3 linked regions of the Nothobranchius furzeri genome follow. The protein of the gene in region 3 interacts with the protein of the main gene of each other region in a pairwise test. Links are inferred from orthologs where the notes say so. Each region holds a gene or a part of one and is shown on either strand. Other genes may lie near its edges.

Evidence for each region.
Region 1: the proteins of bag4 (region 3) and unkl interact in binary tests that used the Homo sapiens proteins (3 or more experiments, as listed by UniProt). The link is inferred for Nothobranchius furzeri from reciprocal best matches to the Homo sapiens genes BAG4 and UNKL.
Region 2: the proteins of bag4 (region 3) and alg13 interact in binary tests that used the Homo sapiens proteins (3 or more experiments, as listed by UniProt). The link is inferred for Nothobranchius furzeri from reciprocal best matches to the Homo sapiens genes BAG4 and ALG13.

The regions. Positions count from the first base shown.
Region 1 is NC_091745.1:4,010,605-4,016,920, forward strand, and holds the start of unkl (putative E3 ubiquitin-protein ligase UNKL), read right to left. Parts: upstream 3,676-6,316; 5' UTR 3,446-3,675; coding exon 3,381-3,445; intron 2,761-3,380; coding exon 2,551-2,760; intron 1-2,550. UniProt on the Homo sapiens protein: May participate in a protein complex showing an E3 ligase activity regulated by RAC1. Ubiquitination is directed towards itself and possibly other substrates, such as SMARCD2/BAF60b. Intrinsic E3 ligase activity has not been proven.
Region 2 is NC_091746.1:29,406,231-29,412,546, forward strand, and holds the start of alg13 (putative bifunctional UDP-N-acetylglucosamine transferase and deubiquitinase ALG13), read right to left. Parts: upstream 4,076-6,316; 5' UTR 4,065-4,075; coding exon 3,945-4,064; intron 3,294-3,944; coding exon 3,210-3,293; intron 1-3,209. Other genes in the region: aars2 (alanine--tRNA ligase, mitochondrial), read left to right, coding at 5,615-5,827. UniProt on the Homo sapiens protein: Catalytic subunit of the UDP-N-acetylglucosamine transferase complex that operates in the biosynthetic pathway of dolichol-linked oligosaccharides, the glycan precursors employed in protein asparagine (N)-glycosylation.
Region 3 is NC_091757.1:36,773,901-36,777,500, reverse strand, and holds the start of bag4 (BAG family molecular chaperone regulator 4), read right to left. Parts: upstream 2,306-3,600; 5' UTR 2,133-2,305; coding exon 2,046-2,132; intron 1,632-2,045; coding exon 1,512-1,631; intron 1,358-1,511; coding exon 1,136-1,357; intron 1,000-1,135; coding exon 730-999; intron 613-729; coding exon 178-612; 3' UTR 1-177. UniProt on the Homo sapiens protein: Inhibits the chaperone activity of HSP70/HSC70 by promoting substrate release. Prevents constitutive TNFRSF1A signaling. Negative regulator of PRKN translocation to damaged mitochondria.

The sequences.
Region 1 (6,316 bases), on a different chromosome or scaffold from region 3:
CTAACGACAAGCTGGATTAAACCTGTTGCATGTTCCACCTACTGCAACGGTTCCTTCAGAATAAAAGCTGACCCATCACGACCCCTTCAGGGTCTCGCTGATGCCAATAAACTGACGTGAACTGGGAGTAACTCAAGACTGGAAGGGTCGGCAACCGCTGCATATCTACAGGCGTCGGTTCCAAGCTGGACCCCCGACATTCCGGATCTAAACGGGAACTTCTGTTGGAGTACGTAGACGGACAGATGGCGTCTCAACGTGTGTTATAATCTCCAAACCAAAGCTTAGAGCGAAACACCCTTTCACTCCCATCAGAACTAATAGTCTCTCCGGATTTGCTGGTTCTGAACATATTTCTTTCACACACACACCATCCTCAGTATTACTCCACCTTAAGCCTGGTTTATGCTTCTCCGTCAGCTCCGCAAGGGACAGACACGCACGGATTGACGGAAGCGTTTTGCTCTTTTACTTCTCCGTCTCCTGGAGAGTGTTGCAAAGCAATTGCCCGGCAGGACAACAGAGGGCGTAGCGCTTTTCTGTGGTATCCTGTCATGTATCGGTCCAAGATCGTGTGTTTATATTGTGTTTTTTGTGTATATAAGAGAGTTTTAACACGGATATATTTGTCTCTCATTCTCCCACCTCTTCATGCGCTCCCCACCTCTAAACCCACGTTTCCTGTCATTTCCGTCCACTAATAAAACTCCTCCAGTCACGGGAGAACTAAACGTTCATATTTTTAGAGTTTTTTCGCGAGATATTCTTCAAGCTTCTCCGTGTCTGCCGCTAGTTATCCTCGGCTCTCTTTGCAATGGCGGCGCTGTAAACAACAGCGGCATCCTGACCAATCACAAGCTTGCGTAATCCGTCTCGTTCGACGGATGTTTAAAAAAGTGGGCTCGACTCCGTACGTCCTTGCGTGCCCTACGCAAGGACGGATAATGGCGTTGCGTGTCTCCGCACTGACGCAGACGGAGAAGCATAAATCAGGCTTTAGTTACATCATACACCTGGTGTTTAAAGTTAGTCTTCTTTAAATTGTTTAGAAATAAATCTTCTTTAACTTTAAAACTCGACTCTCTCTCTCGTCTCTGGGTTAATACGAAGTGTTCCCTAATCCCTGCAATAAAAAGTTCCGATCTTCTGGTTAAAGTAATATTCAAAGATCCACCAAATTGATTTAATATTTCCTATGGAATCTCACATTTTATGGGTCATTACTTAAGATGTAACAAATCATTACATACAATTTCACACAAGCTGCGGAGCTGAAACCAAATGCTTCAAGAAACGTATGAATAGTAAGCTGACAATTTTCCTTTCTTGAGCAACAGTTGTTATAGCAACACAAAAATAGCTTTGTAGCAGAGGAGCAATTGTGAGGGCTGCAGTTTACTGCTGCTCAACTGTTAGTTTAATATTTCATTCTAGGTCATCCCCTTGCACCCAATTAAATGAGATTTTATTTTCAATACCCCGTCACGCCCTTAAAAATCTTAAGGATATGTTTTACATGATGGTGCCACAAATAAACAGAAAAGAAACATAAAAAAGAAAAGTACAGTGATTGTAAATGTTGAGAAAAACAAAGGAAATACTGAGAGGAAAACAAAACATAATTGAAATAAATGATGCCTCCAAGAAAAATGTCTGCTATATCATTCTGTAGCTGTAGTCCAAGCATGGCAAGCAATGAGTGTAAAACATATATGCTAAAAAAAGAAAAACAGTTAATCAGTGAAAAGGATATTTGAATAAACTGCTAAACGTCAGCATGTGTCCTCACTTTTAAATAATGTCTCTGCTGAAAATGCAACACAGTCCAGGCAATTATTCAAAATAACCGTCTCCTGTAACAGCTTCCATTGCTGTGTCATACTAGCATCAACGTGTTTTTATTGTTGATGTTTTTGCTTCTCAGATCATCACTTTTCAAGTTAATCAGAATGAACAATAAAGTATTTTGTTAATTATACTTGTTCAAGTCTATCCAAACGGGCTAAAGTTGGTAGCTGAACAAAAACTGGGAATCACCATCAGCTTTCAAAACCAGAATGAATGTGTGTCTAACCTTTATTATACATTTAAAACTATTTTATAAACGTCTCTAGATTTGTTAGATTTGTGTGGAACATGTCTACACAACAATATCTTATCAATTGCAGCAAATCAAAACCACACATACTGACTATTTGGCCCATTTTACAAATAAAAAAAAGCAGCGACAAAATCATGACCATTGTTTTTTTTTTACTTTTTTAATCCACTGCCTCAAATGAAAAAGTTATCTTCTGTACTACGTCAATTTAAAAAAGTGATAAATTAATAAATTCACCAGATTTTCACCCCTAATAAAATAAATCCACTTTCATCAATCAAATAAAGTTTAACTAAGTTTATTTAGGTCATGATCTAAATCTCTAAACCTTTTTACGTTTAAACACAAGTTAACCACTGACGAGTATGTGAGCAGAAACGATGCATGACTGATTATTTATGTCCTCCAGCTGCCTAATGTGGATCACGTCTACTGTAACGGGGACTTACTCATCTCCATCCGGGCAAATGCCCGTGGTCTCGTCGTATTTGGTGCAGTAGACATCGGGGCTGTAGTTAAAGGTCCCGTCTCTCCTTCTGATCGGTCGCCTTCGTCGCTGGTTGAGAAAATGCCAATGAAAGCAAGTAAAGGGTCTGTGCTGCGTACACTTGTGCTGGAGGAACAACGGGCACTGCTCTGTCCTGAACTCCTTCAAGTATCTGAAAAAGCGAAAAAGAATAAAAATAAGACAAGCTTGGGTCACGCGGTGAGGTTAAAATAGCTTTAAGCTAAGAGGTGTCGTGTTCCGCTGCTGTTTGGTTTCCTTCTATATATTTTGGGTCACTGACGTTGGTGTGCTATTCTGAACGCAAACTATGCACACTTACTCGCGTAACGGTAAGTGCAAAGCTTTGGGCGTACGTCCATAAACGTGCGTAGAAAGAAGGAACTTAAAGAAGGCCGAGCTATTTACAAGCAGCAGGCTGTTAGCGAGTTCCTGGCTAATCATTTAGCAGACAAAGAAAACGGCATAACATTAAATACACGATTAGAAACCGTCCTCCAACCTACTCAAACAAACACAACGACTCCGACTGCATATTATTTAGCAGTTAAATGAATTAACGAGTTCGTATTTCCTGCCTCAGCTCTGGTGTTGTTAGCAGTCGTTGTTAACGTAAGGTAGTCACAAAGCCAGGAAAAGCACCATATTTTTAACGCACACACACACACACGAGAGTTGAGGAATGCTACAAATGCTAACGCACAGAAGCGCGCGTGCAGCTCGCATTTTCTGCAACGAGAGCTTTTGTTGTTTGTGTGCAGCAGCATTACTCACGTATAGTGGGTAGGTTTCTCGGTTTGAGGAGACGCATTGGCCGCCGTTTTCGAAACCGACGGCATTTTCAGTCAAAACAATGAATTGCGCATGCGCACGGGTGTACATAACAGCACCACAGAGCTCACACACGGATGTTGGGGGGCGTCGAACACATCAAGACTTTAGACTTTAAAACTCTCTATATTGTTTTGGACAGGAAATTCCATCCCAAATACTGCGACACGCTGGTGTTCTACTTGATTTTGAGATACACATTTCTGTAATATCTGAGTTTTTTTATAGTGGTTCATGCAAAAGGCACTTTCATAAAAGCGGTTACTTTGGAGGAAATATGAAATGTCCCAAGCTGCTATGCTAAGTTCTGCTAATTCCTGCATAGACTACAGAAGATGTAGTAATTAGCTGTATAAATCAAAAACTGGGTGTACACCAGTGCTTCAAATTTTTACCTCTCAGCATTCCAGGACTTTTTTTTTACTAGCGTAAAGTGAGTACCATATTCTATCTGGACATTTATCAGTCGAAATCTTCAAAATGACAGAAATTTGTTTGTCTGCAGGCTAGCAAACAATGTGTGTGAACTCATTTCAAATCACCATAACACAATAAAATGCCTACATGCAAGTTGTCCAGCCCAAAAAATGTCACCACCCACTAAAAGGTCACTAATATTTTGTTGGACAGCTTTGATTACGGCACACATTCACTGTGGCAGTGTTTCAGTAAGCTTCTGCAATGTCACAAGATTTGTTATTATCCAGTGTTGCATTAATGTTTCACCAAGATCTTGCATTGATGATAGTAGAGTCTGACTGCTGCACAATATCTTCTCCAGCATCCCAAAGATTATCAGTGGGGTGAAAGGCGCAGTGTGTAAGAATATATTGAGAATTTTACAGTGAGAAAACCCCAAAAGAGTCTAATGTTTCAGTCATTGCAAAAAGCTCCAGAGTTGTTTAAAGTGGTTGCAGTAACCAAATTTTACCACAGGATGTAATTTTTACTTCATTTCTACATAATGCACCTCTAAGGTCTGGACTCAGGTGGCCAATCCATGTGTGAAATATATGTCTCATACTCCCTGAACCACTCTTTCACTATTTGAGCCCAATGAGTCTTGGCATTGTCATCTTGGAATATACCCGTGTCATCAGGGAAGACCAAATCCATTGATGGAATAATCTGGTCATTCAGTACATTCAGGTAGTCAGCTGACCTCATTCTCGGAGCACATCCTGTTGCTGAACCTAGACCTGACCAACTGCAGCAACCCCTGATCATAACACTGCCCCCACAGGCACTAGGCATGGTGGGTGCATCACTTCATCTGCCTCTCTTCTTACCCTGATGCTCCATCACTCTGGAACAGGGTCAATCTGGCCTCATCAGACCAGTTTTTAATAATGCGTTGGACAGTTCTTAACCCCGTTTTAGTCATTTCTACAATCTCCTTAGGTGATTTCTCTGCTTGATGCCAACGATCTGACCCTTCTCACACAGGCTAACATCTTTTCCCACAGCCACCAGATGTGTCTTTCCACATGGTTGTTTAAGAAAGGAGAAGCAACTCATTGCACCAGTTGGGGTAACTTGTTGCCAGCTTAAAGATAACCACTCATGCATTAATTATCCAATAGGAGGTTTATATCTATCTGCTTAGTTAAATACAAGTGGTGAGTGTTTTTGGTCAGGGGCAGTATATACATTTTTATTGATGGACAACAACTGACATCTGAAGTAGAAACTCTGTATTTCACGTTTGTTCCACAGACAGTTATTGCATTTTTAACCAATAGATGGAAACATGCAGGGATTCTTATTTGGTCCTGTCTTTCTTCCCAACTGTAACATGCTTGTCATTTATTCAGTTTTTGATTAATACACTCACATGCAGGTAACAATCTTAATACATGGATGTTCTAGCCTGGCAAGCCGTCCTGTATATCTGAACATGTAGTCCATTGACAGCCCTCAGTCGTGGGGCGGGATCTACGGTTGTCTTTCAAACTGTGCCTGCTATTGGACAACAAACAACGCGATGTACTCACCACTACAGATGCCGGGCATCAGGGCAGTCTGCCATTCTGTCAAAGAAGATGCAAATACGTCATTTTTCTAAACGAACCTAAGTACCTCTATCTGCTCTTTTAAGTAAAAAACAAAAAAAAAAACAAAAAAAAAAGTACAAATATTCTAAACTGTTAACTGGAATTCAGAAAATGGTAGAAATGGCTTTTTAGGTGATTTTCAGTAAAATTTTAAATAGATCTGTAGAGCAATAAGTGGTAAAGTAAAATAGATTAGATTTCTTTGAACTTCTAGTATTTACTAAGACATCACAATATAACTATAGACACATTACTTGTGTGTGTGTGTGTGTGTGTGTGTGTGTGTGTGTGTGTGTGTGTGTGTGTGTGTGTGTTTGTGTGCGTGTGCTCTCCGTCTTCTCCATCCCCAGTGAGTCGTGGAGGATGGCTGCTTATACTGAGCCAGGATCCTCTGGAGGTTTCTTCCTGTTAAAAGGGAGTTTTCCTCTCCACTGTCGCTGCATGCTTGCTTAGTATGAGGATTGCTGTAAAGTCACTGACACTAGTCAGTGACTTGATGCAATTTGCTGGGTTCCTTATATAGGAAACATTATTTCTGATTGGCTTAATGAACTGTGAATTGGAATGTTTATTATGTGAAGTGCCTTGAGACGACTCTTGTCGTGATTTGGCGCTATATAAATAAACTTGAATTGAATTGAAATTCATTACAATGCCAAATCCAACATTTTTGCTCCGCAAGTAAAGATCTGACCTTCAGAAACACAAAAGTGTAAATGATGTTTGCATTAAATCCTTCCTCCACCTACCTAACCTGTCACACTTTACCAATGTTTTCACAGCAACACACACACACACACACACACACACACACACACACACACA
Region 2 (6,316 bases), on a different chromosome or scaffold from region 3:
GGCGTACAGCTCATGAAAACCCAAAATTCCTGTCTCAAAAAGCTATTAACGAGTTATTAACCTAATCATCTGAATCAACTAACTTTTAAAAACCTGCAAAAGATTCCTGAGGCTTTTAAAAACTCCCAGCCTGGTTCATTACTCAAAACCGCAATCACGGGTAAGACCACTGACCTGACTGCTGTCCAGAAAGCCATCACTGACACCCTCAAGCAAGAGGGTAAGACACAGAAAGACATTTCTGAATGAACAGGCTGTTCCCAGAGTGCTGTATCAAGGCACCTCAGTGGGAAGTCTGTGGGAAGGAAGAAGTGTGGCAGAAAACGCTGCACAACCAGAAGAGGTGACCGGACCCTGATAGTGGAGAAGGACCGATTCCAGACCTTGGGGGACCTGCGGAGGCAGTGGACTGAGTCTGGAGTAGAAACATCCAGAGCCACCGTGTACAGGCGTGTGCAGGAAATGGGCTACAGGTGCCGCATTCCCCAGGTCTAGCCACATTTGAACCAGAAACAGTGGCAGAAGCGCCTGACCTGGACTACAGAGAAGCAGCACTGGACTGTTATCAGTGGTCCAAAGTGCTTTTTTCGGATGAAAGCAAATTTTGCACGTCATCCGGAAATCAAGGTGCCAGAGTCTGGAGGGAGACTGGGCAGAGGGAAATGCCAACATGCCTGAAGTCCAGTGTCAAGTACCCACAGTCAGTGATGGTCTGGGGTGCCATGTCAGCTGCTGGTGTTGGTCCACTGTGTTTGATCAAGGGCAGGGTCACTGCAGCTAGCCATCAGGAGATTTGAGAGCACTTCATGCTTCCATCTGCTGAAAAGCTTTATGGAGATGAAGATTTCATTTTTCAGCACGACCTGGCACCTGCTCACAGTGCCAACACCACTGGTGAATGGTTTACTGACCATGGTATTACTGTGCTCAACTGGCCTGCCAACTCTCCTGACCTGAACCCCGTAGAGACTCTGTGGGATATTGTGAAGAGAAAGTTGAGAGACGCAAGGCCCAACACTCTGGATGAGCTTAAGGCCGCTATCGAAGCATCCTGGGCCTCCATAACACCTCAGCAGTGCCACAGGCTGATTGCCTCCATGCCACGCCGCACTGAAGCAGTCATTTCTGCAAAAGAATTCCCGACCAAGTATTGAGTGCATAACTGAACATCATTATTTGAAGGTTGAATTGTTTTGTATTAAAAACACTTTTCTTTTATTGTTCGGATGAAATATGCCAATTTTTTTAGATAGGAATTTTGGGTTTTCATGAGCTGTACGCCAAAATCATCAATATTAGAAACAATAAAAGGCTTGAACTACTTCAGTTGTGTGGAATGAATCCATTACAGTGGGGCAAAAAAGTATTTAGTCAGCCACCGATTGTGCAAGTTCTCCCACTTAAAATGATGACAGAGGTCAGTAATTTACATCATTGGTACACTTCAACTGTGAGAGACAGAATGAAAAAAAAATCCATGAATTCACATGGCAGGATTTTTAAAGAATTTATTTGTAAATCAGGGTGGAAAATAAGTTTTTGGTCACTTCAAACAAGGAAAATCTCTGGCTCTCACAGACCTGTAGCGTCTTCTTTAAGAAGCTTTTCTGTCCTCCACTCGTTACCTGTATTAATGGCACCTGTTTGAACTCTATCTGTATAAAAGACACCTGTCCACAGCCTCAAACAGTCAGACTCCAAACTCCACTATGGCCAAGACCAAAGAGCTTTCGAAGGACACCAGGAAAAGAGTTGTAGACCTGCACCAGACTGGGAAGAGTGAATCTACAATAGGCAAGTAGCTTGGTGTGAAAAAATCAACTGTGGGAGCAATTATCAGAAAATGGAAGACATACAAGACCACTGATAATCTCCCTCGATCTGGGGCTCCACGCAAGATCTCATCCCGTGGGATCAAAATGATCATGAGAACGGTGAGCAAGAATCTCAGAACCACACGGGGGGACCTGGTGAATGACCTGCAGAGAGCTGGGACCACAGTAACAAAGGTCACCATCAGTAACGCACTACAACGGCAGGGAATCAAATCCTGCAGTGCCAGACGTGTTCCGCTGCTGAAGCCAGTGCATGTCCAGGCCCGTCTGAAGTTTGCCAGAGAGCACATGGATGATACAGCAGAGGATTGGGAGAATGTCATGTGGTCAGATGAAACCAAAGTAGAACTTTTTGGTATAAACTCAACTTGTCGTGTTTGGAGGAAGAAGAATACTGAGTTGCATCCCAAGAACACCATACCTACTGTGAAGCATGGGGGTGGGAACATCATGCTTTGGGGCTGTTTTTCTGCTAAGGGGACAGGACGACTGATCCGTGTTAAGGACAGAATGAATGGGGCCATGTATCGTGAGATTCTGAGCCAAAACCTCCTTCCATCAGTGAGAGCTTTGAAGATGAATCGTGGCTGGGTCTTCCAACACGACAATGATCCCAAACACACCGCCCGGGCAACAAAGGAGTGGCTCCGTAAGAAGCATTTGAAAGTCCTGGAGTGGCCTAGCCAGTCTCCAGACCTCAACCCCATAGAAAATCTGTGGAGGGAGTTGAAAGTCTGTGTTGCTCGGCGACAGCCCCAAAACATCACTGCTCTCGAGAAGATCTGCATGGAGGAATGGGCCAAAATACCAGCTACTGTGTGTGCAAACCTGGTAAAGACCTATAGTAATTGTTTGACCTCAGTTATTGCCAACAAAGGTTATGTTACAAGGTATTGAGTTGAATTTTTGTTATTGACCAAATACTTATTTTCCACCCTGATTTACAAATTCTTTAAAAATCCTGCCATGTGCGGATTTTTCACATTCTGTCTCTCACAGTTGAAGTGTACCTATGATGTAAATTACTGACCTCTGTCATTTTAAGTGGGAGAACTTGCCCAATCGGTGGCTGACTAAATACTTTTTTGCCCCACTGTATGCATGTTTATCAGTACGTTACAGACAATAATGAACTTTATCACAATATGCTAATTTTTTGAGAAGGACCTGCATTCCACATCATGTTAAAGGGTCAGGCCAAAAATCGGCCTCATTGTCTGTTGGACCGGGCCTGGACCACAACCAAACTGTCAGCTGGGAAGGAAATTGGAAAGATGAGGTCAGGAAATCTGGACCGGATGTTGGGTTTCCTAGTAAACTAAACAGAAACAAAACTAGTCATCACTGGACTAAACCCATCTAGATTCTGCTCACCGGTTCAAAGTTGCACCTGTTGGTCCTCATGAAGTCAGCGCAGTCCTGTCGGATCTTCTGGTGGTAGTTCTGGGAGTAATACAGCTGCAGCACAGGCAGAACAGCGGGTCAGATGGGATGGCCCGGGTTTGGGTTATCAGCATGAGTCTACTGAGCAGCCCTGCCCCAACCACCATCTCACACACACACACACACAAATAAATCACATAAATGGGGGTCAGGTCTAAGGTGTCACCTCGGCCCCCAAAAGGACTAAATCCACAGGTTGATCCAAACATTCTGTTCGGTTTTGGACTGATTTGCTTACTCCAAAAAAGGGGTTCCCAAAGCCGGGGTCGTGACCCCACTGGGGATCGCCAGGAGCTTCACTGGGGGTCTTAGGCTTGTTTCCAGTCCATAAAGCAAATTTTAAAAGAAAAACAGTTGCTGAAGCTACAAAAACTCAACTGCAGTCATAAAAGTAAACCTGAGCGGACGAGTTTCGTTTTGTCCTGAATTATTCCGCTTTATAAGTTTCTGAAGAGACGGGGTCTGAAGCAGGAGTGTGGGTACCACTGCTGCAGAGTGGCTAACCGGTCACCGGAACCGAGCCGCTACTCGGAACTAGTCAGAGAGAGCGGTGAGCGGCCCTGCAGGTCTCACATCACATGTGCGTGTAGAGCTGGACATTTTGCCTTAAGGACAGAGGAACACGTTTGTCGGAACCGCAACGAACCCCGCGTTACCCCGCCTCACCTGTTCAGACACGGCCCGGAACAGACTGGACGCGTCCCGCGCCACCATCTTCCGGTAGAGTCCCAAACTGGACAGGTACTCGTCCATGTTGACGAAGTACTTTTTCAGACCTTTCTGCATGCCGCTGCCGAAACGAGCCGAACAAAACTCCACGGAACAGCCGGTATCCTCCGGTGAAAGCCGCGCGAGCCTCCGTGGCGCCAGCAGGTGAGTTTAATCAGGTTTAACGAGCGCGCGAGATGCGTTCAGGGACCCACCAAGTCTGGGACAGAAGCGGACTGGACAACCTGTCAGACAGAACCGAACTTATGATTCAGTGGAGGACCCAGGATAGCTGAGGAGAACATTTGCTTCAGTTTCAGCTTCATCTCCAGCTCCTGGAAAGATCCAGAACCGAGTTTATCATTTAATTTTAAATTTCTGGTCTATTTTTGAAGCGCCTGTTAATGGGAAAGGTGCAATTTAAATAAACTGTACTTATTTTTTTACTACAGCGCTGACAGATCCAGATGTTAGAGGTCTTGTTCCAGATGTGTTCGCGACCCTCACACGGGTTTACTTTTTGTACCTGGAGATTCTAAAATATATACTTCCTGTCTGCTGTCCTGCTTGTGTGTGTGTGTGTGTGTGTGTGTGTGTGTGTGTGTGTATATACTACACACACATGTATATATATATATATATATATATATATATATATATATATATATATATATATATATATATATGTATATATACATATATATATGTATATATATATATATATATATATATATATATGTATATATACATATATATATGTATATGTATATATATGTATGTATATATACGGTATATATACATATATATGTATATATACGTATATATACATATATATATGTATGTATATATACCGTATATATACATATATATATATATATATATATATATATATATATATATATATATATATATATGTGTGTGTGTGTGTGTGTGTGTGTGTGTGTGTGTGTATACGGTATATATACATACATATACATATATATATATATATATACATATATATATGTATATGTATGTATATATACATATATATGTATGTATATATATCGTATATATACATATATATATATACATATATATATATAAATGTGTGTGTGTGTGTGTGTGTGTGTGTGTGTGTGTGTGTGTGTGTGTGTGTGTGTGTGTGTGTGTGTGTGTGTGTGTGTGTGTGTGTGGTGTATATGTACAGTCTATGGTATATATATACACGCACACACACACACACACACACGCACATACAGTGAGAGAGAGAGACCAGTGGTGAAGGTAACTCGTTAAGGCAGCTAGTTAAATACACATTTGGCCATGATGTAACTTCAGCAAACGAAAATAAATGAATTAAAATAAAGAATTGTGTTTCCAAGGAGAAACAGCATTAAAGACACAGACATACAAATCTACATACTAATAATAATAACAGATGTTTTTTTGTATTTTTATCTATTCAAATCGTGCGCGCGCATGTACTGTGGCTTTCTCAGCTGCAGCAGCCAAATGTGATCACCAGGTGGCAGCATAACATTTACGACATATAATATGTACGTAGAAGAAGACAGCTGCGCGCATGCGCCCCCAAAACACCTTGAGATGGTTCGGGTCTGGTTTGGCTCTGTGAGATTGTGATCCAGATGCTGGAGTCAGTCCTGCGGCGGTTCCGACCGCTCTCTGCCGCCTCGGTGCGCTCTCTCAGCGGGTTTCCGCCCTTGTTTCCTGCCGCGCAGGTCCGGAAGACCTTCCTGGACTTCTTCCAGGAGAGCCACGGACACATTCTGGTTCCGTCTTCTCCCGTCCGACCCAGAGGAGACCCGAGCTTGCTGTTCGTGAACGCCGGTATGAACCAGGTTGGTTTGTGGTCCGGTTCAGTCAGTCGGAGAGTCTTTCAAAATAAGAGTCCAGTTGGACATTTAACGAGTCGTGTTGTTCTGTTTAACTTTATTAACACTCCAAAATAAAACAAATAAAGTATCCCTCACCTTTAGCAGCACCGCAGAACCAGACCGGGGTTCTGCTTTTGGATCAGTGAATAAAAGCATCTTTACGATTGGAGCTGCAGCATAAATGACCCCGTAACCAGATCAGTGCAGGCACCAGTTAGTCACTCTGGTGGGTATTTGGCAGAAGATGACTAAAATCACAGCTTAATTTAAACTGGTTGAGTTGGTCAAAAACACAGTTAAGCAGGAGGCAGGCTGTTCCCCTGATCAGCCGTTACCCTGATATGATCAGCTGTGACCCTGATATGATCAGCTGTTATCCTGATCAGCTGTTACCCTGATATGATCAGCTGTTACCCTGATATGATCAGCTGTTACCCTGATATGATCAGCTGT
Region 3 (3,600 bases):
GGATAACTGCTCCACCTTGTTGTTTGTTTCATGTCTAAGATATTTTATAACATTGAGGTGGGAGAAAAAAAAAACAACATTACACCTTTACAGAAGAAGATTGAACCTTCAATTATTCCATGGAAGATCTGAAAAAGGAAAAGACAGCAACCCATGGGGAAATAGAGGAAGTCCAGTTCAGAAAGCTTTCCTCTCCAGCTGGTCCAGAATGGTCTGGATTCTCTGAACAGCCTCTTTCCGGGCTTGACGAACACTCTCCTGTCCCTGAGTCTCCACAGAGTCTAGCTCCAGCAGCTCTTTGGTCAACAGTTCCTCTAGACACCGGTAGCTCTTGTCAGTTTTTTTGCCGACAAACTCATCAACATCTTCCTGAAGCAGCTGGACTCTGACCAGAACCTGCTGGACTTTAGCAAGCCCAGGATTGTCGCTCAGGGGCTGAGGTCCGGCAGGACCAGGAGCTGGTGGAGTCTCAGATTGTAAGGGGTTGGGATCGCTTCTCCCATTCTTGTTGTAAATCTGGGGAGGCGAACTTATTTCAGCAGGCTTTCCATTGGTTGAATTTGGAGACAGTGCTGGTCGGGGTTTCGGTCCCACATGAGGGGCGCGCTGGTCCTAGAAGAGAAAGTGGAATTTACCTGATTAAATTCCCGGCTCTTAAGTCATTTTTGTTTGATTAAAAAAGAAAAAGCAAAATGCACAAACTACAGAGAAAAAGCAGCGGACTCTTACTTTAGGCTGATAGGGTGGTGGAGCACCAGTTCCAGTACCAGGCCACGCTGGGGGATGTGGCGGTCGGACAGGGTTACCATAGGGACTTTGTGAAGGCTGCTGTCCATGCTGCCACTGTTGTGGTGATGGAGCATACTGACCTGAGTGACCCCAAGCTTCAGCCTGAGAGGTGGGATGGGGAGGCTGCCCAGTGGGATATGGTGGATTTGGAGGAACTGCATGTCCACCTTCACTGTAGTGTGAATAATGCCCTTGAGGATATCCAGGACCCTGAGGGCAAAAGAAACAAACCACTTGTTTTCCAAACAATACTCTAGTCATATTTCTACCAGTACTGGCTACATTTAGGGTTGATCTCCCACCTGGCATCTACTAGCTATGTGAAAACTTGCAAAAACCCACTCACGCCTTGACAGTGTGGGCCAGGATAGTGATGGTGTTGGTGCTGAGGGTATGGTGGCCCAGAAGCCCCACTACCCTGCTCTGTAGCACAGCCTTGGTTGGGATAAGAATTTCTTGGATGGTCAGCACAGTAGAAGGGGTTTGATGCGTGGAAACTGCTTGTTGAATACTGACTTTGTGCAGGGCTGTAAACTCCGTGGCCATTTGGATATCCTCCAGGCATCAGCTACACGAACAACAAAATAAGAGACGCAATGAGTAAAAAAAAATGTACTTAACATAAAGATAAACATATTAGGTAAGACCAAGGATTCTATTGACCTATCATCCTATTAGCTGTGGCTTAGAGAGGATAGGTTGTATTGCACAAGGAGCTGTACCTGTGGGTTGTACTGCTGCTGAACATCTGATCCAGAGGGATAGGTGTTTGCATAGTGCCCAGTGGAATGAGACTGTGGATACCAGTAATGTGACGCATATCCTGGATACTGAGGAGAATCCTGTTAACACAAGAGATATTTTTTATAACTAATAAAAGAAAACACCCCAAACATTATCTTTAAGTCCAACAATTAACTTTAGAGTCAACATTCTTCTTTCAACGTGGCTGTGTATCCTTGAAGGGACGATAAATAAATACAAAAAGTATAAATTAAACATCACTGCCGCTGAAATTTTGGTGTCTCAAAAGATTTATTATCAAGCTGAAAATATAAAAACAGTTAGCTTAACTAGCTCGTGCTATTACATAACGCCAACTAGCCAAGTTAGCCACTCCGCTAACACGAGCAACGCTAGCTAACTCGCTTCCGGTATGACTTATATACTAATTGAAGTCGGTTTTAGTCGATAATAAACTCATGAACTTTTTATTGTAGCCGTTGAACTTATCTGTGTCGTTTTCGTCTACTCACCATGTTGTTACTCCAGGTTCCGTGCTGATTTTCCGAGTTACAAGTAGAGGGCCAGTCTGGTTTAAGATTTGAATGCATTTGGTGCATCAGCTACGCGCATTCCCCATCCGCAGTCCCCTTGAGCAGCATTTTCCATAAATAAACCTTTAATAAGATAAGAGTTACTGGTCTAAAACACCAGCAAGTCCAAGGTGTTTCTACTCAGAAGTACAAATCGTCTGATTGAAATCAGGAAATGAGTCAATGACGCGAGGCTAGGGGAAACCCAAGCCTGTCTCTTTAAAACAGAGATTCGTCAAATATTGAGATGCTTCACGCCGATGCCAATTTCTGATAGTGTTAACGTTACTGCGGGGTCAGCATTGCCACGATCAAATAAACATTTCTTAAAACTAAAATTATCACAACTATGACATCAAAGGAGTGGTTACGATGCAAGTGGATTGGAAATATAATCTCATTCATAAATTTTAAGACTAAAACTAATTTTTCCCACGATATACGATCTTTGTCTAAATGAAAAACCCAACCACTAATGAAAACAAATATAATTTTTTTGTGAAATTAAATGCGACACTAAAGTGTTTTTAAAATATTAACTTGTTAAAAATCATAATATTGTCTTCAGGATATTAATATAAAGGATGAAGAGTAGAAATAATTATATTTATAAAATAACAATAGTTACTTAGAAATATTTCTGTAAATTCGCATTTTGGGGTCAGCAACCACAGACATATAGACCGTGTCACTCACTCTAACAGTCTTTTCGATCATTATTTAGCTAGAATTAAAGGTAAAACTGTACTTAGAATGGTGTGGAGTCCAAGGGCTAAGTTAGCTGGTTAGCTACAGCGCTACAAACTTTTACACTGAACGAGGAGGGTTTTTGGCGCCGTCCAGTGGCATCAAGCTAGAACTACACTTATTCCATTTTTAGTTCTTTTTTATAACACAGAAAATGTTTTTTATTTTATTTTTTTTTTTTACCTTGCTGACAGTTTCGTTTGCCGACTGTAAAACATTAGCAGTCGGCAAACAAAACTGTCAGCAAGGTTATAAAAAAACAACTAAAAATGGAATTAGAAACTAGACACAGCAAGTCTTTTGAAAGAGATTGGGAGATGGGGAGCGAGCGCCCTCCAGTGGCAAGAAGATTGAACTACACGTTAGTTCAGTTAAACCCGAAAAACGACGTAATCTTTGTTTTTGTCTTCTTGGGAAAATGAACATGAAGGATGAACGGTAGAAATACAAAAATGAACTATATTCATACAGTTACAATAGTTACTCAGTACAAATAACTTTAAATTGTTTAAAAAATACAATGGGATGTTGTTAGCAATAGGGGAGCTACTCTAAAAGTCTTTTTTCTCCCATTATTTAGCTAAAAACATTTAAAACTGTATTTATGTATAGATGGTTGTCTGGAGTCAAAGGGCTAGACCCAGCAAGCATGCTATAGTGCTAAAAAAATCTGATTTTTATCCAAAGTTGTAGAAGAAGAAGAAGAAGAAGAAGAAGAAGAAGAAGAAGAAGAAGAAGAAAATATCAT